Rattus norvegicus: one gene and its partners. The main gene of each other region encodes a partner of the protein of the gene in region 7 in a complex. Links are inferred from orthologs where the notes say so. Each region holds a gene or a part of one and is shown on either strand. Other genes may lie near its edges. The genes, in order: Bcas2, Cdc40, Prpf6, Cd2bp2, Lsm3, Crnkl1 and Snrnp40.

What was found.
Region 1: Snrnp40 (region 7) and Bcas2 share a complex: the UniProt entries of both Homo sapiens proteins name them as parts of the postcatalytic spliceosome P complex. The link is inferred for Rattus norvegicus from reciprocal best matches to the Homo sapiens genes SNRNP40 and BCAS2.
Region 2: Snrnp40 (region 7) and Cdc40 share a complex: the UniProt entries of both Homo sapiens proteins name them as parts of the postcatalytic spliceosome P complex. The link is inferred for Rattus norvegicus from reciprocal best matches to the Homo sapiens genes SNRNP40 and CDC40.
Region 3: Snrnp40 (region 7) and Prpf6 share a complex: the UniProt entries of both Homo sapiens proteins name them as parts of the U4/U6-U5 tri-snRNP complex. The link is inferred for Rattus norvegicus from reciprocal best matches to the Homo sapiens genes SNRNP40 and PRPF6.
Region 4: Snrnp40 (region 7) and Cd2bp2 share a complex: the UniProt entries of both Homo sapiens proteins name them as parts of the U5 snRNP complex. The link is inferred for Rattus norvegicus from reciprocal best matches to the Homo sapiens genes SNRNP40 and CD2BP2.
Region 5: Snrnp40 (region 7) and Lsm3 share a complex: the UniProt entries of both Homo sapiens proteins name them as parts of the U4/U6-U5 tri-snRNP complex. The link is inferred for Rattus norvegicus from reciprocal best matches to the Homo sapiens genes SNRNP40 and LSM3.
Region 6: Snrnp40 (region 7) and Crnkl1 share a complex: the UniProt entries of both Homo sapiens proteins name them as parts of the minor spliceosome. The link is inferred for Rattus norvegicus from reciprocal best matches to the Homo sapiens genes SNRNP40 and CRNKL1.

What each region holds. Positions count from the first base shown.
Region 1 is NC_086020.1:193,379,585-193,383,799, reverse strand, and holds the start of Bcas2 (pre-mRNA-splicing factor SPF27), read right to left. Parts: upstream 2,801-4,215; 5' UTR 2,784-2,800; coding exon 2,691-2,783; intron 2,605-2,690; coding exon 2,512-2,604; intron 1,175-2,511; coding exon 1,104-1,174; intron 593-1,103; coding exon 431-592; intron 1-430. UniProt on the Homo sapiens protein: Required for pre-mRNA splicing as component of the activated spliceosome. Component of the PRP19-CDC5L complex that forms an integral part of the spliceosome and is required for activating pre-mRNA splicing.
Region 2 is NC_086038.1:45,862,979-45,866,478, forward strand, and holds part of Cdc40 (pre-mRNA-processing factor 17), read right to left. Parts: intron 3,076-3,500; coding exon 2,960-3,075; intron 1,920-2,959; coding exon 1,786-1,919; intron 1-1,785. UniProt on the Homo sapiens protein: Required for pre-mRNA splicing as component of the activated spliceosome. Plays an important role in embryonic brain development; this function does not require proline isomerization.
Region 3 is NC_086021.1:189,115,465-189,118,964, reverse strand, and holds part of Prpf6 (pre-mRNA-processing factor 6), read right to left. Parts: intron 1,312-3,500; coding exon 1,217-1,311; intron 471-1,216; coding exon 314-470; intron 1-313. UniProt on the Homo sapiens protein: Involved in pre-mRNA splicing as component of the U4/U6-U5 tri-snRNP complex, one of the building blocks of the spliceosome.
Region 4 is NC_086019.1:191,241,092-191,245,222, forward strand, and holds the start of Cd2bp2 (CD2 antigen cytoplasmic tail-binding protein 2), read right to left. Parts: upstream 2,801-4,131; 5' UTR 2,789-2,800; exon of another isoform or gene 2,775-2,788; intron 2,742-2,774; exon of another isoform or gene 2,703-2,741; intron 2,309-2,702; exon of another isoform or gene 2,303-2,308; 5' UTR 2,280-2,302; coding exon 2,202-2,279; intron 2,001-2,201; exon of another isoform or gene 1,999-2,000; coding exon 1,866-1,998; intron 1,744-1,865; coding exon 1,586-1,743; intron 1,481-1,585; coding exon 1,045-1,480; intron 971-1,044; coding exon 864-970; coding exon of another isoform or gene 789-863; coding exon 678-788; 3' UTR 1-677. UniProt on the Homo sapiens protein: Involved in pre-mRNA splicing as component of the U5 snRNP complex that is involved in spliceosome assembly.
Region 5 is NC_086022.1:125,576,702-125,580,984, forward strand, and holds the start of Lsm3 (U6 snRNA-associated Sm-like protein LSm3), read left to right. Parts: upstream 1-1,483; 5' UTR 1,484-1,583; coding exon 1,584-1,604; intron 1,605-2,285; coding exon 2,286-2,396; intron 2,397-4,283. Other genes in the region: Xpc (DNA repair protein complementing XP-C cells), read right to left, coding at 1,231-1,324. UniProt on the Homo sapiens protein: Plays a role in pre-mRNA splicing as component of the U4/U6-U5 tri-snRNP complex that is involved in spliceosome assembly, and as component of the precatalytic spliceosome (spliceosome B complex).
Region 6 is NC_086021.1:153,804,815-153,808,968, reverse strand, and holds the start of Crnkl1 (crooked neck-like protein 1), read left to right. Parts: upstream 1-1,354; 5' UTR 1,355-1,440; coding exon 1,441-1,491; intron 1,492-2,867; coding exon 2,868-3,020; intron 3,021-3,513; coding exon 3,514-3,605; intron 3,606-4,154. UniProt on the Homo sapiens protein: Involved in pre-mRNA splicing process. As a component of the minor spliceosome, involved in the splicing of U12-type introns in pre-mRNAs.
Region 7 is NC_086023.1:147,983,327-147,987,589, reverse strand, and holds the start of Snrnp40 (U5 small nuclear ribonucleoprotein 40 kDa protein), read right to left. Parts: upstream 2,801-4,263; 5' UTR 2,762-2,800; coding exon 2,618-2,761; intron 1-2,617. UniProt on the Homo sapiens protein: Required for pre-mRNA splicing as component of the activated spliceosome. Component of the U5 small nuclear ribonucleoprotein (snRNP) complex and the U4/U6-U5 tri-snRNP complex, building blocks of the spliceosome.

The DNA of each region.
Region 1 (4,215 bases), on a different chromosome or scaffold from region 7:
TCTGTGTTCAAGACTTAAGTACCATGATACATGAACATGGGAATCCATTATTTAAGCATCCACACGTTAAGGACTGCATTTTATCAAGTGGTGCTCTGCAGATCACCCTCAGAGCTCATTTTCTTATACCGCACAGTGAGTGTGGGAGTTATGTGGACGTAAAAGAGCTCAGCATTAGTGAACTCTAAGGCAGGACTCGAGATGCAGCCTTTCACTCTGTTCTGATACAGCCCCAAGTCAAGTCTAGCACAACTGCTATTATTATTTTGGACATGCAGTTTTGCTAGGTGAGCCTAGGGTGACTAAACTCAAAATATAAGCCAGGCAGGCCCTCCTCCACACCCCAGCTTCCCAGCCAAGTGCTGGAATGATAAGCATGCACATACCACCCTGGGTGGCACAGGATAAGAGAGAGCCCAGCGCCTCTTACTCGTTGTACACTTTCCAGGCGTTACACCCATGCTGTGACATCAGTTCCAGATTCTCAATCCGCACTGCCTGATGCTCCAGCTGGGCCATAGAATTGTTTACACAGTCTTGCCACGCAGTGATGTCATTTTTTTGACCCGAGGAAGGGGCTGGCAGTTCATATCTGAAATTACATAACAAATAAACCAATGTATCTCGCAAAGACTCATCACCCCTTTCCACAGACATATGCCCATTACATAAAGGCAGAGACACAAAGTATCAACCCCTGACCATGACCCTGCATGTGCAAAAGACCAAGGACACAATGTAGGCCAGGCAGTACAAAGAAACCTGTTAGTTTGGAAACTGATCTTGACAGATAAAAACACAGTTGTATACTGTAACAAAGAACTACTTCCATAAATGTAAACTAGGTAAATAAGCTGTGAGTCACAGAGACTCTCATGTCCCTTGTCCTTGTTCGTCTACCATGACCCTTCTTACATAAAGTCTGCTTATCAGCTTTTTAAAAAGTTGCTTAAAAATACTGTATTATATCTGCTAGCATTTTTTTTTTTTAATGTAGTAATGATGATTACAGTTCTCTCTATTCCCACGTCCTATGCCCAGCAGCAAACACTCTTCCCAACCTCTGGCAGCGCTGCGGTTACCACAGCTTAGCCTCATCTTACCGCTTCATGCTGAGTAATTCAATTGGTTGTCGAGCAGCCAGTCTTTCAAACTCATTTCTCATTATGTCTGTCTGATGCACAAACAACACAAAGAATTAGTGACAGGATCATGTTGAAAATAATGAATGTAATTTACTTATATTTTATACTTTATACTATACATTATAGTGAATCTTTTCTCCTCTCTCAATTACTTCTCAAATAAAAAGGATGCGAATATTTGAACCCAGGACCACTATACTACACCCTCACACACCCCTCAGTTTGCTCTGAGGTTAACGCTATCTAGAATCTGAAGAAATAGGCATATTCTTTAATTCCATATTCTACCTAGGCACGATAGGAGGTGAACCTAGAAGAGCCCAGCTGTCAAGGATTAACCCTACATCAGCAGTCTTCAATGCTCTGCAATCAGTTGTGGAACTCTGAAAACAACTTTAACCCCAGCCCCATGTCACGTTATAATTCACAACATAAAGTAACAGTCTTGAATCATTTCAGGAAGTCTCTGGTGCTGCATGACGGTCTGACACAGCGTAACCTGTGAAGTCACATGATGTAACATGGACCAGCACTTGGATCTGGGGCTTGATTTTTTTCCAATTAATTTTTGGGTTAGTACTTTTTACTCTTGCCAAATTTCTTGCAGCTCCCACATCAGTTATGAAACCCCCACTGAGGAGTCACAACCCAGTTTAAAAACCTGGGATCTGGATCCGAAAGAATCACACATCCCTGTACATGGAGCAGTCTTTCTCCTTCTCCTTCAGCCTGAAAGTATTTTAACATCTTCGTAGTGTAGCAGGGTGGGGGTGGGGAGAAACTCTGAACAGGTGTGGACTGAAATTTAACAGAATTCATTAATCTAGAAACGACACCGCACATTTACTTGATTAGGGCCTAAATGGTGTTTTGGTTGCACTTTGAGGATAACCATTAAGACGTACTTGTTCAGGCATTCATACACCTGCTAACTATCGGAGTCTTGGTACAAAAATCTCCCTCCAGTGGTGGCAAAGAGTACAGGCACCTAAGATTATAAATATTAAAATCTAATACCTGTTTTTGAATAGACATTGGAGAATAAAGGGTTCTTTTGTGAAATATACTATGACTCTTATATTAAAACACACACACACACACACACACAGAGACACGGCGTGGGGAGCACTCTTCAACAAGTCTGCAGAAACCAATGAAGTCATTCGCGGGTTATTGTAGTACAGACCCTATGAAAAGCTCATCTGGTGGTTTGAACCGACTGATACCTATATGGCACTCAATATGAGCAGCAAGCACCAGTTAGCCTGGAAGGTGACGTTCATTTTACACAGCTAAAGCTCTCAATCCGAAATCAAAGTCCGCAAGCCTCCTGGTCAGAGTGCTGGGCCCAGGACACCACACTTACTTCAAAGGCAGAATAATCTGGGGCTGTCAGGTAGCTCAGGTAGTTCTTGGTAGGTCGGTATCTGCGCGTTTCCTCCTCCACCAGGGCCGCAGCCTAAGAACGAGAACAGGCCGGGGTCGCGGCGAGAAAAGGGCAGCAGCGTGCCTCCGGCGGCCCCGCCGCACATGCCCTGCACTCACCGCTTCCCGCACGCCAGGCGCTTCATAGCCTTGGTCAAAGTAGGGTAGCGCATCCACTACCACCTCCCCCGCTACCAAGCCCGTGCCCGCCATCGCGCGGCACTGTACTCCAAGAGCGCCTTCTGAGTCTGCGCAGGCTCGATTAGATTCTCTGCGCCTGCGCCTGGAATGACGTCACGCTGCCTCTGGCTTTTCGCTTCCGGCGCCTGTGCAGTTGGTAATTGTAGCCGCTAGACTCTAATATTAGTTATCACATGCTGACATGCCAGGGTGACTTTCTTTGTATGGGTACCGCGTGGGTTATTTTCGAAGGAGTGGGTAGGGTAGACTTGGGAAGAGGCGGTTGCTGGACTTGGCTGGAGGGGAGAAATAGATTTCCACATCCTTTAACCTTCCATTGTTTAAACTCGCCATGGTGCTGGGCTTCTAAGCACTCCCTTGTTTTATCCTCATTTCGCAGCTGGCCCCTTAAGAATGTTCTTTTATAGAAACTAGAAATCTGCGCCTATTTTCCAATCAAATTTTTAGATCTAACAACCTGAGTGAGGGATGCGGCTCAATGGCAAAACCAATTCAGTCCCTGGCACTGCAAACACCTCAACCCTCCCAGGACTGTATTATATATACAAAATGCCTCATTTTAAAAGCTCTGCCACGAAGCAGGGGCAACTCTGGAGCAAGTTAGAAATCTAGGAAAAGGGAAACTTGAGGTTTACCCTAAGACTTGAAGCAACAGGGGATATGGAACCTGAAATGGCCACCTCCTGGAACCAGGCAAGACTTCTAATGGAGAGATGGGAACACCAACCCACCCACAAAACCAAAATTTGTCCTGCTTATAAAAAGTATGAGGATAAAGATTGACCAGAAACTGAAGGAATGATCAAGCAATGACTGGCCCAACTTGAGACTCATCCCATAAGAGAGAGCCCACCCCGACACTATTCATGATGTTCAACAGCTGTTAGAAACATGCGAAGATCCACAGCCAAACATTAGGCAGAGCTCCAGGAATCTTGTGGAAGAGGGGGAGGAAGGACACCACAGGAAAACACAGAATCAACTAACCTGGTCCCGTAGGGGTTCACAGGGACTGATCCACCAACCAAAGATACAACGGACAGACCTAGGCCCCTACAAATATGTAACAGATGTACAGCTTGGTCTTCATGTGGGACTCTAATGGCTGGAGCAGGGGTTGTCTAACTCTGTTGCCTGCCATTGGACTCCTTTCCCCCAACTGGGCTGCTTTATCTAGTCTCAATAGGAGATGTGCCTAGTCCCACTGCAACCTGATATACCAAGGCTGGTTGATATTCACGGGAGGCCTCCCCTTCTCTGAGGAGAAAGGGTGGGGTGAGATGGGGATAGGAAAGGTGAGAGGGAGGGAGTAGGACAGGATGGAGGGGAGGCTGTGATCAGGATTAAAAAGATTAATGATAAAATCCTGTCATTTTTGTCTTTAGAGCCTATATAAAACCCAATCCCTTTGCCTTTAGGATTTGTGGTAATAGAATATTACTCC
Region 2 (3,500 bases), on a different chromosome or scaffold from region 7:
CCTATAAGCATGACTATGAGATAGAGGAAGACACCTGATGTCCTCGTCTGGCCTCTGTATACATGTGGATGGTCATGTACACACACACCCTCACATGTGTGCACACACCGCATGCTTACATGCAAACCGAACAACAAACCAAACCAAACAAAGACACTCAGTGTCCACATCAGATTCTAGGTAAGAAACGGCCTCTCCTTCTTTCTCTCTTTCCCCCTCCTCCCCACCCTTCTTCCTTTTTCCCCCACTGTGAATGGAACCTGGGGGCCTTGCAGTGCTAGGCCTGCACTCTCCCACTAAATCTCTAGGCCTAAGAAGTACCTTTTCTGAAGAAGACCTAATCACTGAACAGTGATCAGTAAGCCTGCAGCTAAACAGTAAGGTAAGATACAAAGTCCAGTCAGTGTCCTCGGTGATAATCTGGAAGGACAGTGTAGGTGTAGAAATGGACATTTGCACTGAATCCGAATTGACCTCAATTATCCCGACAATAATGAGGGCCTATTCTGCCTACTTGGCTCTCCCAGGGAGTCAGTCTGAGGAGGCAGCCTCTGGCAGTGGTTCAAGGCTGCCACTTTCTCTTAAACTGCTACTTCTAGGGGAGGGAGGGAGGGAGGTGCCCTTTCTAGTCCCAGCCAGGCTGTGTCTCCACTGAGTTCGCTGTTCTGTGTGACTAGAAGTACAAGCTGGGCTCCACCCAAGAACTGATTTTAATTAGAAAGATTACTATGTATTTCCTTCAACTAAATCATAAAAATATCAGGATACTTAATGAAACCAGCTTAAGGATTTACTATTTTGACTTTAGAAAAACAATGTTCTTTGGATAAAAGGAAAAAGTAGTCTCTATATTCTGATTATATTCAACAAGCAGGATGTTTAAAGCTGATGATATGAGGCAACTCAAGGCCTGGATGGTTACAAAGCAGGCCAGAAGAAAACGATGTGGTGTTTTCCTTGGATTTGTTCTGAGGCCAGGATCTCTACGTGTGACTCTCACATAACTAAACGTAGCCAAATATCCTATACCTCGCCCGCCATTTTGTAAAGATGAATAAGGTATTAGTGAAGCATGTGAGGGGGGCTTGCGAGATGGCTTGGCAGGTGAAAGAAAGGGCTGCCGTGCAAACCTCAGGACCTGAGTGTGCTCTCTAGAACTCACCACTGGAAACGTGAAACACACACACACACACACACACACACACACACACACACACACACACACTCCCTCTCTCTCTTTACCCCCTCTTTCTCCCTCCCTCCCTCTCTCTCTCTGTCTGTCTCTCTCTGTCTGTCTCTCTCTCTCTCTCTCACACACACACACACACACACACACACACACACGCACACGCACACACTCAATGTAAATCAGGGCTGGAGAGATGGCTCAGCAGTTAAGAGCACTGGCTGTGGTTCAATCCCCAGCACCCACACGGCAGCCCACAACTGTACTCCAGCCCTAGGGGATCTGACACCCTCACACCAATGTACATGGAATAAATTATTTATAATTTATTAAAAAAGGAATGTGAGATGTGACAATTATCATGATCACAAACAACAACAATAATAAACCAAGTTTAAATCCATGTACTCTTGGGAGAGTCTTTAAAGATTGTGAAGGGTAGTTATAAATGTTTAGATTTCAATTTCCAAATTGTCAGTATTTAAATAATTACCACACTTTAGCTGGAAGACAAGAAAATTGTGGCATATTATCAAGCTTTGGCTATAATTTTTTAATTGCTTGTTTCGTAAGTCGGGTTTTTTCTGATGAACACTCACCATTCCCAAACTCGTAGGCTTTTATCATCAGACGTACTCACAAATCTTCGGTTCTCATCCACAAAGACAATCGTGTTGACAGCCCCCAAATGCCGATCGTACTCTTGAACAATCTCTCCGCTGCGAATGTCCCACTGTGAGCAACAAGGGAAGGCACACACAGAGGTAGGAGCACTCATGAGGACAGCCAGATACACTTAGGGACAGACTCCTCGTGCTCCGTGTCTAGGGACTGACTCCTCCCACTCCATGTTTAGGGACTGACTCCTCCCACTCCATGCTTAGGGACTGACTCCTCCCACCCCATGCTTAGGGACTGACTCCTCCCACTCCATGCTTAGGGACTGACTCCTCCCACTCCATGCTTAGGGACTGACTCCTCCCACTCCATGCTTAGGGACTGACTCCTCCCACTCCATGTTTAGGGACTGACTCCTCCCACCCCATGTTTAGGGACTGACTCTTCCCACCCCATGCTTAGGGACTGACTCCTCCCACTCCATGCTTAGGGACTGACTCCTTCCACTCCATGCTTAGGGACTGACTCCTCCCACTCCATGTCTAGGGACTGACTCCTCCCACTCCATGCTTAGGGACTGACTTCCCACTCCATGCTTAGGGACTGACTCCTCCCCCTCCATGCTTAGGGACTGACTCCTCCCACTCCATGCTTAGGGACTGACTCCTCCCACCCCATGTTTAGGGACTGACTCTTCCCACCCCATGCTTAGGGACTGACTCCTCCCACTCCATGCTTAGGGACTGACTCCTTCCACTCCATGCTTAGGGACTGACTCCTCCCACTCCATGCTTAGGGACTGACTCCTCCCACTCCATGTCTAGGGACTGACTCCTCCCACTCCATGCTTAGGGACTGACTCCTCCCCCTCCATGCTTAGGGACTGACTCCTCCCACTCCATGCTTAGGGACTGACTCCTCCCACTCCATGCTTAGGGACTGACTCCTCCCACTCCATGTTTAAGGACTGATCCTCCCACTCCATCTCTAGGGACTGACTCCTCCCACTCCATGTCTAGGGACTAACTGCTACCTTCTGAGCACAACACAAGTGGATGCTCAAAGTGGCAGGCATCAACAAAATGAATGCTGTTCTCTTTCCTCAGACAACCTAAAGCTCACAAATCCTGACAGACATACTGAAGAAGGACTTACCTGTACAATCTTTTTATCAGACATCCCGGCCACAAAGAGATTCTGCTTATCTTCATCGGGATTGAACTTGACGCAATAGGGTACTTTGCGGTTTGTAAATCTTGATATACACTGTCCTAGACAAAGAGTCAAATTAAACAGAAACATAAGTCTGACTCCCAGAGGATGGCAGCAGCATGAAGACCTACTGAGTGGTCCTCACTGATTCTGAGGAAGGGTGGCTCGACTCTTAAAACCACCACATGGGTACTTTCCATAGAATTTTTTTTAAATGATTAAAAATATTTTTTTCAGGGGCTGGGGAGATGCCGCAGTTGGTAAGAATGTTTTCTGTGTAAGTGTGAGGACTTGTGTTTGAATCACCAGGCATGGCTGTGCATGTCTGTAAATGCAGCACTGGGGGCAGAGACATGAATCCTGGGAGCTTGCTGGCTAGCCAGTGAGGCAGTGAGGCAGTGAGGCAGTGAGCCAAAACTGGGAAGCTTTCAGTTCAGTGAGAAACCCTATCTCAAGGCAATGAAGTGTACACACACACACACAG
Region 3 (3,500 bases), on a different chromosome or scaffold from region 7:
GGAACTGGATGACAGGCAGCTGTGAGCTGCCCTATGGCACCTGGAAATCAAGTCTAGGTCCTCTAGAAGACGAGCCCATGCTCTCAACCGCTGAGCCATCTCTTCTGAGTCAACTCTAGGTTTTCTATATTGTGTGACCTGACAAGCTGCCAGGTTTATCACTTTCAGTGATGCTGACCCTGCCATTATGTTAGGCCAGCCTCTGCTCCACACAAAAGTCGTAAAGACTTTCCTTTCCTTCTGTTCATAACCTTGCTCTGACTCTAGTATGGGCACATGCAGCTGTCGAGAGAATATGCTGCTATGGCTTTACCTTGGGGCACATCTCTGTCCCTTTCATAATAAGGTTTCGAGCCACTTGTAACTTTCCAGTGACTTCTTCCAGGCGAGCTGACGCAATCCAGGCTGGTGGATGATGAGGGTTTGTTTCTCGAACAGATTTAAGAAGTAGTCGTGCTTTCTTGATGTCACTGTAAAGGTCAAAAGGCACAAAAAATCAGGCCACACTATTAGAGGGTGTGGCAAGAGCCTGGGAGAAGGCATCCCCTTAAGACACAGAATAAATTGCTAAGGGAAACATGCTGAAGACATAAAATCCAAAAGAGCTACTCTACGGGGGCACTGAGTAAACAAACTGAAGCCTGAATATCCAGACAGGAAACACCAGACAATCTACAAGCTGCTTTCTAGCTCACCACAGGCATTGACCTTATTATTTGTAAAATATTTAATATACATAGTAAAAGAACACAAATACACTTCTAATTTCTCAGAACATCCATGTCATATTTTGACTGTATATTCTTTTTTTTTTTTTTTTTTTTATTAACTTGAGTATTTCTTATATACATTTCGAGTGTTATTCCCTTTCCCGGTTTCCGGGCAAACATCCCCCTCCCCCCTCTCCTTCCTTATGGGTGTTCCCCTCCCAACCCTCCCCCCATAGACTAGTTCACTGGGGGTTCAGTCTTAGCAGGACCCAGGGCTTCCCCTTCCACTGGTGCTCTTACTAGGATATTCATTGCTACCTATGGGGTCAGAGTCCAGGGTCAGTCCATGTATAGTCTTTAGGTAGTGGCTTAGTCCCTGGAAGCTCTGGTTGCTTGGCATTGTTGTACTTTTGGGGTTGACTGTATATTCTTTAAAAAAAAAACTCCACAACATAGTAAGCAATTAAAGTTCCCATTTCAACCCATCAATTCTGCAGCATACTCACTTTATATCGCCACCATGGGTTGGGATCATAGAGTTTAGGTCCGTCAGATAGCCTTTGGGGTCCACAACAGTCTGCCCACTCACTGAGTCAGATACCTGTGAGATAGGTAAAGGGGAGAATGAGCTAGTCATGACCAGCAATGTTTAAAACAACGAATTACCAACAACCCTGAAGGCCCACCCGACAAATCTCATGAAAAGCAGTCAGGAAAAAACAATCTTACTGTGACTCAAACAACAGTTAGTGATGAGAAAATGTCTTCTACATGAAAAGTGTAGAAATCTTCTACAAGGATTAATGTTGCGGGATTAATTTCGGCATCACTGAAAGTGATAAATCAATAGAAAACCTAGAGGCTGAAGCAGGAGAGACAGCTCAGCAGTTCAGAACACTTAAGTATGGCTCCCATAGGCTCATATACAAATACTTGGTCCCCAGTAGGTGAAACAATTTGGAAAGGCTTAGGGAGTGTAGCCCTGTTGGAGAGGATGTGCCACTGGAGGTGGGCTTTGAGATTTCAAAAAACTTGGCCACTCTAGAGTGTCTCTCTTCTAAGAAATGAAAAGAGAAAATAAAAGTAACCAAGACACATAGAGATACTGATCCTAAAAGTTCCATGAAAAGAAATTTCAAGAAAACATATTTTAAAAAAATGTCTTTTTAAGACGGACCTAAGTCCAGAAAGTCTTAAGTAAAAGGCTGGTAATTTCAACTTTTTTTTTTTAAATTTCAATATGGAAGTTCATTGTACTAATCTTTTTCTTTTTTGAGACATGATTTCTTGTGTAGCCCTGGCTGTCCTGGAACTCATTCTGTAGCCCAGGCTAACCCTGAACTCAAGAGATCCACCTTCCTCTGCCTCCCCAAGTGCTGGAATTAAAAGCTCATTCTACTATTTTAATCATAAATTTTTTTTTTTTTGGTTCTTTTTTTCGGAGCTGGGGACCGAACCCAGGGCCTTGCGCTTCCTAGGCAAGCGCTCTACCACTGAGCTAAATCCCCAGCCCCTTAATCATAAATTTTTAAATTGCCATAATAAGCCGTGTCTGATAGCACGGACCAGTAATCCCAGCTACTTGGAAGGCTAAGGCAGGAATGACCAAAGTTCAAGGCTTACCTGGCTACAGAATGAGTTCCAGACTGGCCTAGACAATTTACTGAGTATCAGTTTCCAAAATTAAAAACTAAAAAGAAGGGCTGGAGAGGTGGCTCAGCGGTTAAGAGCACCCGACTGCTCTTCCAGAGGTCATGAGTTCAAGTCCCAGCAACCACATGGTGGCTCACAACCATCTGTAAAGAGATCTGGTGCCCTCTTCTGGTGTGTCTGAAGACAGCTACAGTGTACTTATATATAATAAATGAATAAATCTTAAAAAAAAAAAAAAAACTAAAAAGAAGCCGGCCAAGGTGAAGCACGGCTTTCATCCTAGCCCTCCAATGTAAAACCACATCCACACCTCAGTGGCCACCAAACCATTTCGCACAGCTTCCTTAACTGTAAGGTGGTTGAAGCTACCAGTTTTAGCACTTTGAATTACACGCTCTGAATAGCTGTAGGGATTTCACCAGGGGTTGGGGGAACTAGCTCAACCTTGGCGTAGTGCCAAAGTGTGGCCAATCAAGGCTTCGAGTAAGTCAGGCAGCGGCCACCATCAATGGTACCTTCTCTGCGAAGTTATGGATGAACCTGGCCATGGTCTAAGGTGGAAGGTTCGTCTCCCCAAACCGCCGGCTGAAGGTTTTAAAAATGTTTTTAAAAGACAGAATCTCATATTATAACCCAAGCTGGATTCAGGCTCAAGGTGATGCTCCTGCCTCAGCTTCCTAAGTACTGAAATTACGGGTGTACCAGCACACTATCCAACACTCTTTAAGAAAAGACAGGTTAACAAACACAGAGCACAGAAAAAGGGGAACAGGAGAAAAAGCGTTGTTTTTCTAGTGACTGGTATGGAAGTGCACGCCTAGCATCCAAGCACTTTGAAGATCATGGTGGAAGGATCAGGCCATCCTTGGCTACACACTTTGTGTGAAGCCAGCTAGGCTACACGAGACTATCTTCCTTTCCTCCAGAAAGCTAGGTACAGTAGCTTATACCAGCACTTGGCAGTCAGAGGCAAGCAAATGATTACAAGTTCAAGACTAGCCTGGTCTACATAGATCAGGACAGCCAATAACATGCCAAATCATGTCTCAAATAAAATAACAAAAATACCAAGAAGAACATGTGCAGGGGCATTCTGTTTTATTTGCCAACTTAAAAAAAAAAAAAAAAACAAACAAA
Region 4 (4,131 bases), on a different chromosome or scaffold from region 7:
GCTTATGCCAAGAAAGGTCAGGGAATAGGTGAATGGGCCACCTCTCTAGTTTACTGTGAGGTCTCCAGTAAGTCCCTGCCCTTTGCCCCTCGCTGTATCACATGGTGGCCCAAGTAACCTTGAAGTGCTACCAAGTTCATACTTCACCTAAGAGCTATGGAAACTACTGCAGGAGGGTGAGGGGTAGTAAAACCAGACTAGGGAGAAGGGGAGAATCCATGTTTAAGAGGATCTCCCAATAGGATTTCAAAGTCTTCCTAATGTCCCAGCTACAAAGGAGCTGCCAGGGCAGAGAATGTGAGGTCCTAAAAGCCAAGATCAGCATGACAGAGAACAGAGTGATAGAGGGAATTTTACACAGGACACCTGATGGGCCCTCCCTCTGCCTCCAAGGTGGGAAACAAAACGGAGGTGGTCCAAGACACCAGAGAAGCATGAGAGGAAGTCTCTTGGGAGGAAACTCAAGGACCCACCAGGTGAAGCCAAAAGGAGCTATGGAGAAGCCTTGGCTTTTGGCCATTAGCCCAGTCAAGGCCCTGATGCATACTCAAGGCTTTTATTGACAAAGAGACACTGGCTTTAGAGTGGCCTCCAATATCCTCACTGCCCAGGGCAGTTGGGACCTCCTCTGCCAAGTTCAAGAAAGAAGGGGCTGCCAAACGGGGCCCTTAGCGGGCTCATGTGTAGAGATCAAAATCAATGCGCTTGGAATTGTAGAACTGACCGCCTGGAGGGTCCAGCTTCCGGCAATAAACACCATCCGGGAAGTAACCTTCGCTCACCCAGGTCTGTAAGAACAGAGGACAAAACTGAGGCAAGATGACAGAAGCTGGGGTGGACAGCCAGGGCGGGAAGGGGCTTACCTGCATCTGGGCACTGGTAAAGGGTCCGTACAGCTCAGCATCCCCCGTGTTCTCCCATTTATACTCCCACATCACATCCATCAGACCATCTCCAGCTGAATCTGCTTCTAAAACAATGAAGAAACTTGGGCCTCAAGCACCCGGTCTCCTGCCCACACTGCCCCTCTTGTGCCCTTCTTACCTTCTCTATGGGTAGGGGTTGGAGTTTCCAGTTCCCCCTCTGTTACTTCCTCAGCAAACATGTCCAGGGAGGGTGGAGGTGTGGGGTCATGGGATCCCTGGGTCCGACACCCCAAACCCTTCAGTCGCATAGCCAAACGCTCCCTTGTTTCCTGGTATACACCAAGGTTGCCTCGAGCCACCATTTGATCAGCCAACCCAGATAGCCGGTCTAGACGCTGGGGAGAATTGGGCCGTCCAGTCCCCTTGCTGTTCCCTTTGCCTCCTCCTCGGGCCCCCAGACGCCTAAGTGCCCCAGCCACTGTCTCTCTTGGCAGTAACAACTCCAGAAGTCCCTCCAGGAGGGCTTGGACACTCATTGGAGTCTGACCCAGGCTGCCTTCCTCCTCTGAGTCCGAAACCTGCTGCTTATCAGGTGGCCGTTCCTTGATCCTCACCTATAAGTGAAAGATAGTTATCGTTTCTTACAAACTCCACCAGGACCCAGGCCCAGCACCAGCATTCCCAGGCTGAGCTCAGCCAGGACAGATCCTGGGCCACACCCAGTCAATGTTGTCCAGCCAGCTGTCTCGGATCTGCGAATCCTGGTTCAGGAAATAGTTGCCATCTGCATCAAAGTGGCCTTCCTCCATCTCCTCCTGCAGGTTGAAGGGTGTGATCCTCACACCCCCCTCACTAGGGAGAGTAGCTGCTTCCTGACCTGCACCAAAGACATGGGGGGCCCCATGCTAGACATGCAAAAAAGAAACAGGCAGTACACCTCCCACCTCCCTACTTAAAACCTGTCCCTCCAACACAGTTAATGCTTTGGAAATAGCTCACCTTCGACATCCTCTGAGGCCAGGATATCGTATTTGCTGGACCCCTCGTCATCATCCTCTTCATCACTGTCTAAAGAGTGTTTGCCTTTGAAGCGGCTCCCAGGACCACCTGCTCCAGCCACAGGGTCCACCAGCTATGAGTAGGACGAAGTAAATGAGAAAGGAAGACTGGCTAGTTCCTCGAATATTCCAGGATCTGTACATAAACTCGAATCCTTCCAAACCCAGTGACTGGGAAAAACTAACCCTTCCTTGGCTTCCAGCTTTTCTCCCGTTGGACTGCTCCCTCTCCTTTCCCCTTAGGCCTCCATAGAACTTAGAGATCTGGCCATCTCACCTTCTTTTTGGGAACACTGATTTCATCTTCATCATCCTCATCTCCAACACCCTGAAAAGTCACTTTCCTCTTTGGCATGATTGGCAATAGATTTCCTCCAGCTGGACCTCGGGAAAAGATAGGAAGTGAGGAAATTAAGTAACAAGAGAGGGCCGCGAGAGTGTACAGGCTCCACAAAGATTTTTCCTGGTAAATTTGAGAGAGGACCGATCACTAAACCATCTGAAAGAACTAGCAGGTACGACGTCCGGAATTGATTTGGCAATGCAGGGGCCCAAAAGGGAGAACATGTGAAGGATCTCCGCCCCCGCGTGGACCCTGTGGGTACTCCCACCTAGGTGTGTGGGAGGGTAGGGAGCAGGTTCCCCCCACGTCATCACTTCCCTACCAGTCCGAAGCTACAGAGCTCAACCACCTCTCCCACCCGAGTGCCCTCAGAGGCCGGTCGGACGCAAGAGCTGGCGCCTTAGTAGCCTCGGAACCCGAATTCCACATAGCGACCTGCTCGGCCATGTCCAACTCGGCGTAGAAGCTAGAAGCGAGGCAAAGCCGCAGGGATTCAAACAATCTTACCCGCTGACGCTCACCTAGGAATCCAGGGTCAGACGGGAAAGAAAAGGAAAGATGCTTTCGCCGGTATTACATCCGGGGCATCCGCCTCCATCACCCGGAAAAAGACTGTGAAGACTGCCATAGGACCCGGAAGTGGCTTCACTTCTATCCAAAAGACTGGCAGAACGGGCGGATGTATCCCTTTAGCCAAGGCCGACTCTCCGCAGGAAGTAACGTAAGACCTGCAAAGACTCGCGTGAACTCCGTACTTGCCTCACGGGATTTGAAGATGGCGGGAAATGTTTTATTATTCCTCTGCAATGGAGGAGACGGTGAAGACGTGGCGTTCTGTTTGCTAAAAGAGGTTCCCAAGGCCCGGTTGGAGGGACACAGACCGAACAGGGGCCTTGGGTTTCAGTTTGCATTTATGGATAGGATTATGTACGCCTAATGGCATTCAGTAGAAACTCGGGTTTCCGAGTTTAACGCAATCCCAACACTCAGGAAATTGAAACAGGATTGTCGCGAGATTGATGCCAGTCTGCGATACAACATGAGACCATTTATTTTTTTTTAAATCTTTTTCTCCCTGAGTCCTGCTTCTGGTTGTAAGCACTCGGGCACTTTCCAAACCAAATCCTTTTAGAACCCAGGAAGTCATTTGCACCATGTCTATTCCCCCACTTAGTTCCTAGTTTCTGTAGTGGGACAGCCGTCGCAGGAGGTGGCGCTGGCATTGGTGCTGAGTAATTAGGCAGAAGCCCATGGTGCCCTGCTCTCAGGTGTAGGTCCCAAAAAAGCTCTTGAATTAGTTACAAGATGAAGCCTACCCCGACCCCTTAGCAAACTGTCAAGGTGCTGAAATTCAGCTCCTGCAAAGGTGGGACCAGTGAGATCTAACTTAATAGTGAGGTTTAGATCTGGAGCTCTGGGAAAAAACTCAAAACCTGAACACCTCTGCCCCACCCCCACCCTCAGGCTAGATAGCTCAGGTGATCCTACTAGAGCTGGAAGAGGGTGGCCAAACGGACACCACCTTTCTCCTCCAGGGTTTTCTCCCATTCTGAATCACTGTGAAACTTCATTGAAGGTGTGATCTTAGTTTCTTCTGTAGGTAAAAGAAACACAAGTCCTACACCAAGAGAGCATCTTGCTATAGACAGGACCCTGAAAAAACACCAGCTCTCAGCACTACTGGTTCATCTGGAAGGAATTTTCTCTTCTACCTGGAGACCACACCCTGATCCTCATCCTGAAGAAGATCTGCCAAGTGGAACTCTTGCTTTATGGCCACAAAAGCTTTATCAGAAGACTTTATCATCCTGACCCAGACTGGAGGGCAAAAAGCTTGCCACAGAAAACAAGAGCTGGACAATTT
Region 5 (4,283 bases), on a different chromosome or scaffold from region 7:
CTACCTTAAGATGATCATGGAGTGTCTAAGACCTGAAGCAGAGAGGAAATTAGCACCAGCAAGAGCCACAAAGAACATTCTAAGCCAAAGAAACACCAAAGGCTGAGCCTCCAGATAAATAAACAGTAAGTCTAAAGAGGAGAAAGATGGTCAGAGAGAACCAGGCATGGTGACATCTGCAATCCCCGTGATCAGGAGGTAAATTAGACTGGAAGATCGACTTCTAGGCCAGCCTGATATTTAAACAGGAAAAAAATCAAAATAAGAGTATCTGGAGAGGAGACAGAGTAGAATTGTGACAACCTCCAAATCTTGTGGGAAACAAGCTAAGAGAGGTAGATGCTATACTTGGAGAGCATAAACCTAAGGAGGTTTTAAGTAAGAAGACAGAGGCATAAGGTTTTGTTGTGGTTCTACATCCATTTGGCTGCTAGATGATGGGGCAGACAGATGAGAGGAAGCCAGAAAAGAAGCAACCTGAAGTTCATTTCCTTAACGATATGGACAAGATCTCTAGCTATAAAATTAAGAGAATTAAGTACAGATTTCGGTGGTTCCAAAGCTGAACTGGACTTGATGCCGAACTGGCAGTTAAGAAGAGATGTGTTCTAACGTGTGTTTTAAAAGGGATGATTTATTGAAATAGAACAACTGGGGGGATGGATATGTTTAAGGGGAAAGATGGATCTTGTTCAAGATCTAGATTAAAAACTCATTCCAGCCAGGGCGTAATGGTGCATGCCGGTTAATCCCAGCACTAGGGAGGCAGAGACAGGCGGATCTCTGAGTTTGAGGCCAACCTGGTCTACAAAGCAAGTTCCAGGACAGCTAGGTCTACACAGAGAAACCCTGTCTGGAAAAACAAAGCAAAAAACAAGAGTAACAGAAAGCGCATCCTAAAAACCCGGAGCTGGAGTTACACTGGATGGCAGTCAGGAACTTGATGAGAGAGATCTCTCACTACAGGTCTCCCTCGGTCCTGGTTTTTGGCATCTCCTGAGATACCAGGCAATTGCGAAGCTTTCTCCAGCTCGGCCTTCAACACTTGCTATGGGGCTGAACTTGGTACTAAAGGTTAACCGAGGGGTTAAGACAGATAGCAGAGGCCCTCGGGGGCTGGAGGGGGGACGCATCGGGCCGTAAAGACCTTGCGGTAGACACAGATCCGCTCCGCCGCCCGCCCCAGCCTCCGCCACCATCGCCTGACATGCTGCAGACTTGGCCTCTCACCCGCATCGCTCTCCTCAGGCCGGGTTGCTTTGTTGTCCTCGGCTTCCTGGCCGCGCTTCCTCCGCTTTCCGCCTGCGGTACGCTTTCGGGCCATGCTAGCCAGAGGCGTTCCTCCGGACAACCACGCAGGACTGCCGAAAGTCTCCGCGTGCCGGCTCCGCCCCGAGGCGTGCCATGCCTGGCCGCACCCCCAGCTCCGGATAGGACCACGCCCTCCAAAAAATCCCGCCCCCATGCAAACTACAAGGGCGCGAAGGGACAAAAATAGTGTAGTTCGCCTTCCAGTGCGTGGCGGCCCAACGTTTCCTAGTGTCTGCTCTCGCGAGAGGTGGAAAGGGCGCAGCGTTTGAAACATGGCGGACGACGTAGATCAGGTAAGTTTGTCCTGGGGCGTCCGAAGAGGAAGTGCTTTCGTTTCTTAGCCGGGCTTGCTTTTTCCACGCTTCCCGTGGAATGGCCCTTTTCTTTTTCCCGAGTTCCCACGGCCTTCCGCAGCCAGGCCTGCTCCTAAAACTTCCGTAGGCCCAGAGTTTCTCAACCCGCCCATCTGCCCATCTCGCTCGTCGTCGCCCTTTCTCTGTAGAATGCAGACGGCTGTGGATATCCCATCTATGGGAGATACGGTCGGGATTCCGACAGAAAGAGTACTGTAGCGGTAGGACACCAGCATAGTAATACGTGTAAGCACCTGGCACGCAGGCAGTGGCTCACTTGGAGTGTGTTACGAGGGGAGGTCAGATAAAAGGTGCAGTTATGTGAGATAGAGAAACTGCTAGAGATGTAGTATATAGAAAACAAGCAAAGACCTGGCACACAGTGTTTCTCTTCAGAGCATGTTGTTTTAAATGTGTTCTTTATTTAAAATGTTCGTTCCACAACTAGAATATAAGTTCCTTAATAGGGATTTATTGGGGCTTAGTGGTTAAGAGCACTTTTGGCTCTTGTAGACAACCCTGGCTGTGTACCAACACCCACATGTTGCTTTCACTGCTTAACAGTGATTGAAACACCACACTACCTCAGTGTTCCATTACTAAGCCTTCTTCTCTCATCAGCAACAGACCACCAATACCGTAGAGGAGCCCCTGGATCTTATAAGACTCAGCTTGGATGAGCGAATTTATGTGAAAATGAGAAATGACCGAGAGCTTCGAGGCAGATTACATGTAAGTCTGTTAAGTTATCTCAAAACCAGATGCTCCCCTGTCATCCCTTCCTACCTCCTTACAGATAAGAACTGCAACATAAACTTATTTTTTTTAATTATACAATGACTTTTGGGAGTTGGAAATTCCTTTATTGGCTTTTAAAATATTTTTTCCTTAACCAGAATGTTTTTTAGAGAGGGATGGGACTCCTGTGAGACCAGAACAAGGCATCTGATTGCCCAGAGCTGGAGTTACAGACAGTTGTGAGCTGCCTGGTGTGGTTGCTAGGAGCCAAACTCAGGTCCTCTGCAGGGATAACCAGTGCTCTTAATTTGAGCATCTCTACAACCCTGTAGAACACTTTTGTTTTCTTCAGCTTTGTCCTCTGTTTATTTAAAATGAATAAACTTCTTTTTGTTTTAGACAAGGTCATACTATGTAACCCAGCTAGCTTCAAACTCAAGATCCTCCTGCCTCTCTCTCCTTAGAACTGGGATTTTAGACATGCACTACCACTCTTGCCATTGTCCTATGTTTTTAAAAGTTATTGGACAGGGTGTTTTGGTTTTCGACATATAAAACTCTCCTTTGACATGAAAAAAACTAAATAGCAGGCCAGAGATCGTTCACCTAGTATGTGGCAAAGCCCCTAGCACTACCAAAAAAAAATTAAACACCATAGAAATCTAAAGGTGAAATTCCATTTTCTCTGCACTATTCAAAGTTGGCTACATAGTCGTCCACATCTTTTCTGCATGTGTATATGCTGTCTGTGTTTGAAGGAGGATCCTAGTGAGGTACGGTGGCATGTGCCCATAATTCCAGTACTTAGATGACTGAGGTAGGAAGGTCATATATTTGAGGCCAGTCTGGACTACATAGTGAAACCTTGTCTGGTATGTACACACCTTTTCCACACGGTTTCTGTGTGGAATGATTATGCAGCTGACACAGTTGCCCAGGATTCTCTATAAGGCTTCGGTCACTTTTTTGTTTTTCCAGCCTTAAAACTGCATTGTGCACTTTTACATATATTGCTTGTGCACATTTATGATGCCTGTGGAATTGGTCCCTTGAAGTAGCATTATTGTGCACTTAGGGTTTTGTCTCTTCTTGTTACTTTCCTCAGAGCTGTTGGTTTACAACGGGAATTGGAATTAAGTCTTTTTAGTTCAGGCTTAGAAATAGCCCCATACTGGCACCCACAGAGCCAGTGTGGGGGACAGTCTCAGTCTTTCTTCTATGAAGAAATTTTTAGTTCTTTCATGAAACCTGAGGATAAAGAACCTCTGTGACTTGGAAGGAAATTGGACTGTTGATCTACAAGCCAGCATTAGGGAAACAGCGGTGCCAGTTTGGTGAGAAACATGGGATGGAGCTAAATTGAAAGGCTCTTCGGCACATGGAATGACCCCAGGCTAGACCATCGCCTTTAGTTTGGAGGTGTCTGAAGCTCTTACCTCTGTAGTAAGTGGCCCAGGTTTCTGTTTCCTCCCTGCTCTCCAGCTGAACATTTTGCTCATTTGTGTAGCTGCCAAGCAGTTCCTTCTCAATGTGGCGCCTGGCTATTTTTAATCTTGATATGAGCAGGCAAAAGCACTTAGCACTTTGTTAGAAGAACATATAAGTGGGTTCTGAACAAGCCCCAGGAGGTTTGCTGTTAGTAAAAGGGATGAACTTTGGAGGTTGCACTAAACACTGTGGTTGCAATCCTTCCTGCCTGAGCCCACAGATGCCAAAGCATGTTAAGCTCTGGACAAGTTATAAATGGGCAAAGTAAAGGTGGGACAGATGATTGGTGGGTAAAGTTTGAGTGCTGAAGTTTAGATCCCTAACACCTGTGGAGACCCCAGAACAAGCTCTTGCGTTCAACTTAAAGACACTACCTTAATACATACGGTGGGG
Region 6 (4,154 bases), on a different chromosome or scaffold from region 7:
GGGAATGGGGTAGATCCCGGGGAAAGCTGGAGGAGTGACTATGATTAAAATGCAAAACTCAAAGAATTTTTAAAAAATGCTTACAAAAATGAGTATTGGGCTGGAGAGATGGCTCAGCGGTTAAGAGAACTGACTGCTCTTCCAGAGGTCCTGAGTTCAATTTCCAGCACCCACATGGTGGCTCACAACCAACCATCTGTAATGGGATCTGATGCCCTCTTCTAGTATGTCTAAAGACAGTGACAGTGTACTCATATAAATAATAAATCTTTAAAAAAATTAAAAATTGAGTATTGGCAGTCAAAGGCTCAAGGGGAGAAGGATGAACAGGCAGTACCCTGAGGATCTTAATGGCTTGGAACTCTGTAGATTATAGAAACAGCAGACACAGACTATCTTGCCTTTGTCCTAAATCTCAGACAGTACAAGGGTGAACTGTAACAGCCTTTAACTGATAATGTGTCAGTGTAAATTCACCAATGCTGACGATGAACCACCGTAGGGGTGGGAATGGATCGTAGAAAGCCCTTTGAGGGTGGGGAAAGAGGGAGTAGGAGAAGCTCACCTTCCCAATTTTACCGTCAATCTCAAAATTTTTATTTAAAAAAATTATCTTAACTATATGCTCAGTAACTCTGTTTCTGAATGTACGTCGGATAGTATACATACTAACATCTAGCGAGCACTTTACATAGACAGATTTTCTCTTTAATCTTAAGGAAATAGGTATTTCTCTCATTTTATAGTCAAAGGATAACAGAATTGAAATAATGAAAACAAATTTACAGACTAAAAATTTGGTTTTTGTACCAAATGTACCAGTTTCTGTAGATGCTTTGCTACTAATTTCCACCTTTCTCTAACATCTTGTTGCAAAAATACCTCTATTTAAAAAAAAAAAAAAAAAATCCACGTTTCAAGATCATTAACTTGGCCCAATCGCGAGGAAGCCCGAGACGAGGGGGCGGGGACTCAGAGACTACAAATCCCAGCATGCACCGCTGCCCTGGCAGCTGCTTGCAAGGCTGTGGTTTCCTCCGCGCTCTTCCCTTCTCCCTCTTGTTTCCACTTCCGAGATGGGTTCCTACGCCCCTTGTCAGGTGCCACTACCTACAGCTGCACGCATCTTAGAGACGGACCTGGGTGAGCCCTCGCCGCCCGAACCCCATGTCCCTGCGGCGCAGCCCGCGCTACCCACCTCACCCGCAGTCCCAGCAAGCGGCGCTGCTCCTCTGAGGACGCGCACACGGTTGCTACGGAAACGACGCGGCGTTTCCCCTGACTGGTGAGGCGGTCAAAGGTCGCCTTGGCAAGTTCCGGTTCCGGTTCCGGGATCTAGTTTGTTGTGGGCTGGCTCTGTGGTGCTGGCCGCGGGATTTTGAGGCGTGTATCTGAAGTCCGGGTGTGGGCCAGGGTCGCTCGCGTTCCGCGGCTACAATCATGGCGGCTTCCACGGCAGCCGGGAAACAGCGGATTCCTAAAGTGGCCAAGGTAAGCGACCTCGAGGAGCCTCAAGCACAGCATCTGTGGTGTGGGGCACTAGAGATTCCGGACAGAGATCTTTGTGCCCTGGTCCAAGAAGACAGGTGGTCCATGGTGAGGTGGCACGGGGTCTTGTCACTCCGAGTTCGTCTCGCGTCTGCCCAGCCTTCGTTCCAGGGTGGTATTTTTGTGATGCAAAGCATCAGTTCGGTTCGGTAAACTCATTGCTTTTCCTAGTCTCTGGGGGTCCCCTACTTTTACTCGAGGCTACAGTGCTCCAATAAAACTGGAGGAAGGGCGAAATAGCAACCTTGATAGATGTAGCCTAGTCCCGTAGACTATGCTATAGGCAAGAACCAGAAGGGTGCCAGTAAACTTGAGGGTAAGCTTTGTGAAGGAAGCTAACACTGGAAGGCTGCGTCAAAGTTAGGCAGTGGAGGGGATGGGAGAGGACAGGCTCTGTGCAATGGCATCATTTAGGTTGGACAGTAAATTATTCTATTTCCAACGGTGGCTGATACTTCACCAATGCTTAATGAATATCAAGTCTTGCACTTAGCCATTGCATACAATCTTTCTCTGGTTTGATTCTTCTAGGGCCTTTTGGTCTTGAGACAGGTTCTTATTTCCACATGTAATTGTAAAAATCTAATGTGGTAGCTTTTCCCCTGCATCCTGAGTCATAAAAACCATGGTATGTGTCCTGGCTAGATTTTTTGACAGCTCGACACAAGCTCAAGTTATCTAGAAAGAGGAGTCTGGACTAAGAAAATTCATCCATAAGATTGCTTGTATGCAAGTTACTGATTGGTGCAGAGGGCCCACCCTACTTGGGCAGTGCCATACCTGGGCAGGTGGTACAGAGTAGTATGTAAGAACAGACTGAGCTTAGCTTGTATATCAGTCATGCCTCCGGCTTCCTGCCCTGACTTCCTTTCATGATGGACTCGTGGTCCAGTTGTGTAAGCCAGTCAATCAGCTCTCTCCTCTGCGGGTTGTTTTTGTTGGTGTTGTTCTATCACAGCAGTAAGAAAGCAAATTAGAACAGTATGTTTGCACTCAGGGTCCATCTACCTTGAACACGTTTGACTTGTGGCTACCGTGTTGGAACTAAAGCGCTTACAGGCTATTGGTGGAGACTTTGTAAAAAGAACAGTTTCAGTTGGCCTAAAATGTCATGGAAAACCAATTTGTCCACTCGAGGGGTTAGAGGAGTTAGTTCTCTGAGCAGGTGATAAAGAGGAAGTGGTACGATTTTCCCCCTGCCCCCGGTTCTGTCTCATGGAGAATTGAGGGTGTCATTCAAAGATGGCATCTTGGACTCATTCTTAGATCTTGTGTGGAGAACACTACCCAAAAGCAGGAATGTCTCTTTGTCCTAACAGGTGAAGAACAAAGCGCCAGCAGAGGTGCAGATAACCGCAGAGCAGCTCTTAAGGGAGGCTAAAGAAAGAGAGCTCGAGCTCCTCCCACCCCCACCTCAGCAGAAGATCACAGACGAGGAAGAACTAAACGATTACAAACTACGGAAAAGGAAGGTGAGTCTGTTAAGAATGCACTGCGTACGTCTGTCCAAGTCGCCCCCCACAGTAGGAGCGAGGGCCTGGGAGAGAACTCTGAAAGGGCCTATGTGATCGGACCTCAGGCTAGTATTTGGGATTATTTAATGCACTAATATCGTGGAAGTCATACGTAAAATTCTACGAGTTACCGAGCACTTGAAGGTAATGTTAAAAGTTGTTTCAACATTCTTATTCTTAATGAGAGTAGAATTTATTAAAGCACTCGTTGTTAATTGCTACGGAGAACAGCAAAGCGTTCTAAAAGACACACCTTACATTTTTCTTGATGTCACCATAAACTTTAGAGAAACACCTGTCATTGTCCCCCTTCTGGAGGAAGGTTCTTGTTCCTCAGCATCTAGGATATATTTTCTCTTAGAAAGAATAAAATGAGTGCTGTATATTACAAGGGGGAAGCAAAGTCATTTTCTCTTTGATACACTCTCTTCACTCCCCTTTTGCCTTTCAGACTTTCGAAGATAATATAAGAAAAAACAGAACTGTGATTAGCAACTGGATCAAATACGCACAATGGGAGGAAAGTCTGAAGGAAATTCAAAGGTAAAGTGCCACGACTATAGTAACTGTCTGCAAAGAGTGTGCAAGCCAGCGTGTGAGAGCTGGGAAGAGGAGAGCAGGGAACTGTGCCGTGTCAGCAATTTCCAGCTTCTTTCCAGGGAGCTCTCTGAGGCACTCACTGGGAAGGACAGTCAAGGGGGTGTCTCAGGAGGTTCTAGATGTGGGTCTTGCTGCTAGTACTCCTGTCGCTAAGAACAGTGTTTTGTCTGTTTTCTGTGTTAATTGGATATTGTTTCAAATATAGGAGTGTTCTCCTGAAATCTGTTGTCAAGATAAAAATCATGGTGGCCTTCACTGCCCGTTGACTAGCCTTTCTACCCTCGTACCCATGTTCCACTGTGACCATGTCCTTGCCAATCCTGAGCACATCATTGCTCATTACTGTGCCATTTGTTTGCTCTCTGCCTTGACCCCTTGAAGGCACCTTTTCTTCACCAACCTTGACTTCTGAACAAACTGCAACTATCTCTCCCATTCTCAGTTCCAGGAGCTCCTGCAGCTTAGCCTGTTTCACCAAACATTGCCATTTCT
Region 7 (4,263 bases):
TCTGCTCACAGAACTCCTCCTGCCTCTGGATAATCCCGTGGACAGTCCAGCGTATGCCCTATGTGCTCTCTCCTTCCTAAGGCTGTTTTTGTTCCACAGCCAACTTTTGACTGCTTGGTCACATTGAACTCCTTTATGCCTCAGGGTCTTAACAGAGAAAGATGTCTTCTATAGAAGCACTCACCTTATTTTGTGTCTGTTAAGTATTGCCTCCCCAGAGTCTGTCTTTCATCACTCACACTATTTTGAGTGAGGCAGCCCCCCTACCCCTTATTCCACTGGGTCCAGGGCACTCTGTCAAAGCCCCATCACTACCTGAACTTCCTTCTCTTACATCATTGCTCATACCTTTCTTTTTCCCCAAAGAAATGAAGCTCTGGTCGTTCTCCATTTTTCTGTCTCTAGTCCATCCAGTTAGCCTTTGAAAAACCCAGTGGGGTACAGTTTATTATGCAAAATAGATTTTGGGGCATGAGCGGGGTGGGGGGGGTCTTTTTTTTTTTCTTTTTTCTTTTTTTTTGGAGCTGGGGACCGAACCCAGGGCCTTGTGCTCGCTAGGCAAGCGCTCTACCGCTGAGCTAAATCCCCAACCCCGAGCGGGGGTCTTAATATGTAGCCCAGGCTGGTCTTAAAAATTTTCAGTCCTCCTAAGTGCTGGTATGACAAGTGTGTATCACTGTGTCAGGCTTAGCAAAGTAGATTTGATTGTGTGGTCTTGCACACTAAACCTAGGCAACCTTGTCAAATAAGAACCAGTGTATTACCAATAATCCTGAAGTCTCTTTAGTAGATCCCAGTATACTTACTTATTTTTATTATCATGTACTAACTACACCAAGTAATGGGTTTTATTACGAAATATCCATAAATGCAGATAATGTCCCATGGTCATACTCATCCAGTATATTTAGTCACAAAAATGTTACCTGTTGGCTAGAGAGATGGCTCAGAGATGCTCTCCTAAAGGACCCACATTCAGTTCTCAGCATCTTCAATGGGCAACTTTCAAGAGCTGTAACACCAGGTTCTGAGAATCCAACATTCTTTTTTTTTTTTTTTTTTTTAAGATTTACTTATTCATTTATTATATATAAGTACACTGTAGCTGTCTTCAGATACACCAGAAGAGGGTATCGGTTCTCTTTACAGATGGTTGTGGGCCACCATGTGGTTGCTGGGAATTGAACTCAGGACCTCTGGAAGAGCAGTTGGGTTCTCTTAACCGCTGAGCCATCTCTCCAGTCCAGAATCCAACATTCTTTTCTGGCCTCTGAGCCCCAACCCCAGCGCACACACACCTAACATATCTAGGCGCTGGAGAAGACAGCACTTGGTAAAACAATAGACCTTGCATTCTAGTACAAAGTGTGAGAAAGGCAGACAAGCAAACCCAAGTAAAACACCCCCTGTTGTGTGCCATGGGAAGAAACAATATGGGTTCCAGAGTGCAGGACACTTCAACCTAAAATACAGTTGTCAGAAGAGCCCCACTGAAAAGCTAGTATCTGAGCAAAGATTTGAAAGAGTCAATAGTTGACCATGTGGGCATTTACAAGAACATCCCAGCCAATGCACCACAGAAAAAGTAAGAACATATATGTGTGTGTGTGTGTGTGTGTGTGTGTGTGTGTGTCTGGAGCCAAGTGACATGCCAGAAAACTAGTAGATGAACAAGGTAAAGAGGGGAATTATTACAGAGAATTTCCTTTTTTTTTTTAGAAGGCAAGGATCAAGGTTACACAGTTCTCTTTCCTTTCAACAGGATTTTGCCATAATAATAGCTTAGATGCTTGAAGTCCTGGATCTTCCAGCCCCAGTTTCTCAAGTGATGATTATAAATGTGTGTATCCAGCTTTTTTGGGGGGTGGGGTGGGAGTGTCTTTCTATGTTGTACAGGTTGGCTTCCAATTCCTTCCCTTAAAATTTTCTTGTCGGTCTTCTGGAAAGCTGGAACTACAGTCCCACACGCCTTGCTCACTTTATTTGTATATTTTAAAGACCACCGCAAAAGGATTTGGTTAAAGAGTTGGGGCAGGAGTACACCTATTTCCTCATCTGAACGTGTGGCGGGTGTGATTACTATTTTACAAGACATGTAGTTAAAAGCATGGGTTCTGATTCAAAAAAGCTTGCTTTCCCCATTTTGCAAAATAACAGCTGCTTCCAGGCTGTTATCAAGATTAACGGAAATTTCACACGCAAAACATCCAAGAACCAACTAATGTTAATTACTATTATAAATGCAGAGAAAGAAAAAGCTGTACCAGGTAGCAAAGCGAGCCACTATCATTCATTTGCATTGCTTCTCCTCTCATTCATTCATTCGTTCACTCTGCCAACTTTCCTGAATGTTTCTTTTATGCTAAATCCCTGAAGATTTAGGATGCGGAAGCTTGGGTCTTGACTTTGAGGCCAAAGTTTTAAATGATTCAATGCCCCGGAAGGGCTAAAAACAGGCGTCTAACAGGGAAACACGTATGGAGCACACACAGAACACAAGGCACCTTTACAGAGGCCTATTTTAACTTCAGGCTCACTGCTTTTCCGTTCCTGCAGAGCTGATACCATCCGTAGGAAGAGGGGTTGGGGGCCGAAGGGGGGATGCCTCCTCACTTACCGTCTGCAGCAATGCCCCCGGAGTCGCCTGCTGTTGCCCGGCTCCGGGGCCGGATCCTGCGGCTCCCAACAGCAACTCATGTCGCGGCCGCTTGACGGGAACCAGGGGTAGCTCTGGGCCCTTGCGTTTCTGCTGCTCGATCATGGCGGCAACCACTACCCTCGGCGCCGCCAGTAACCGCGCCGCCTGCAGCAGGCGTTGCGCAATTGGTTTCAACTGAGTTCTTCCTCCAGAACTTCCGGAAGAGAGCAACCAATCGATTTCTAACATTTCCTTCTGCAACGCCCTCTGAATACACTCTTGCGATTGGTCTCTTCTTGATGACGTCACGAGAACTCCACTCTGGATTGGGTCGCAGAACTGACGTTCTCCTCCGCCCCCTCAGGCGCGCCGTGCATTGTGGGTGAGAACGAGCGGAGCAGATTCAGTGTTCCTAGGGATGAAGCGGCTGTCCTGTTAGGAGCGGACGCGGAGTGAGTGTGTGGGGAATCAGGCGGGTGGTTGTTACAATTTGGAAGTTACGAGTCAGGCCTGAGCCTACCATTTTCAGCTACCAGCTTTGGCAGCGGGGTGTGGCAGGGGATGTCCTCGGAAAGAGTCCCCGGAAAGAGAAGTCCTTTGGTAGGCTGGAGCAGAGCTTTGGGATCTCTGGATGCAGGACTCGAACTCTCAGGCCGCTATTCATTGACAGCTGCTCTGCAGGATGCCGATTCTGGATCCCACTCTGTGCTGGCCTTCCCAGGCCCGACTCCCGGCCTCCAGGCTTCAGTGCCTGGCTTGGCTGAGGCGGCGGACTTAGTTTTGTCACTGCTTTAGCCGTCTTTTCTAAGGACTTATTTATGTCCCCGAGACAGCCAGCGATAAGGAAAGTATCAGATGGCTCCCCAAAGCACAACTTTATTGAGAAGTCAAATAGTCGTGCTTACGTACCAGGCCTTCTCGAAAGTGGTCCATGGGGTTGGGGATTTAGCTCAGTGGTAGAGCGCTTGCCTAGGAAGCGCAAGGCCCTGGATTCGGTCCCCAGTTCCGAAAAAAAGAACCCCCCCCCCCAAAAAAAAAAAAGAAAGTGGTCCAAATGGTATTTATGATGCAGTGCGTTGGAGGTCATTCTGAAGAAACATGGTCCCCTACCTCAGGGTGTGGGAAACGTGTTAAGCAAATCTCACCAGTTGATCGGAAGACTACCTGAACGAGCGATGCCTCATGCTATGAGTTACTAATAGAAGCTTGAAGGCTTTTCAAAAGAAAAGATGGCTGAGCTGTTCCTATCTGATGGGACAGTTCTAATTATGGGACGAGAGAAAGGGAGAACGTTCTGCACAGAACAGCATGTGCAATGCCCTATCAGTTGGGAAGATGACTGAGACACAGTGGGTCTGAGCGGGTGTGCTGAGAGAGAGTGATTGAAGTGACTATGGTATGGGATGAACCCGGAGGTCATGAAGATTTGCAGGAAGTTGAAGCTTTTACTTTAAAATCAATAGGAAGCCAGTCAAAGTTTTCTCTCTTCTCCAGAATGTGGTGCAGAAGATGGCTTGATCCCTCAGACTTAATGGTGTGATGAAACTGGAGAGATAAGGGGAGGTTTACTGGGAACAAATAGACCATTTTGGGAGCATGAACAGTAGTTCTGATCAGCAATGTCA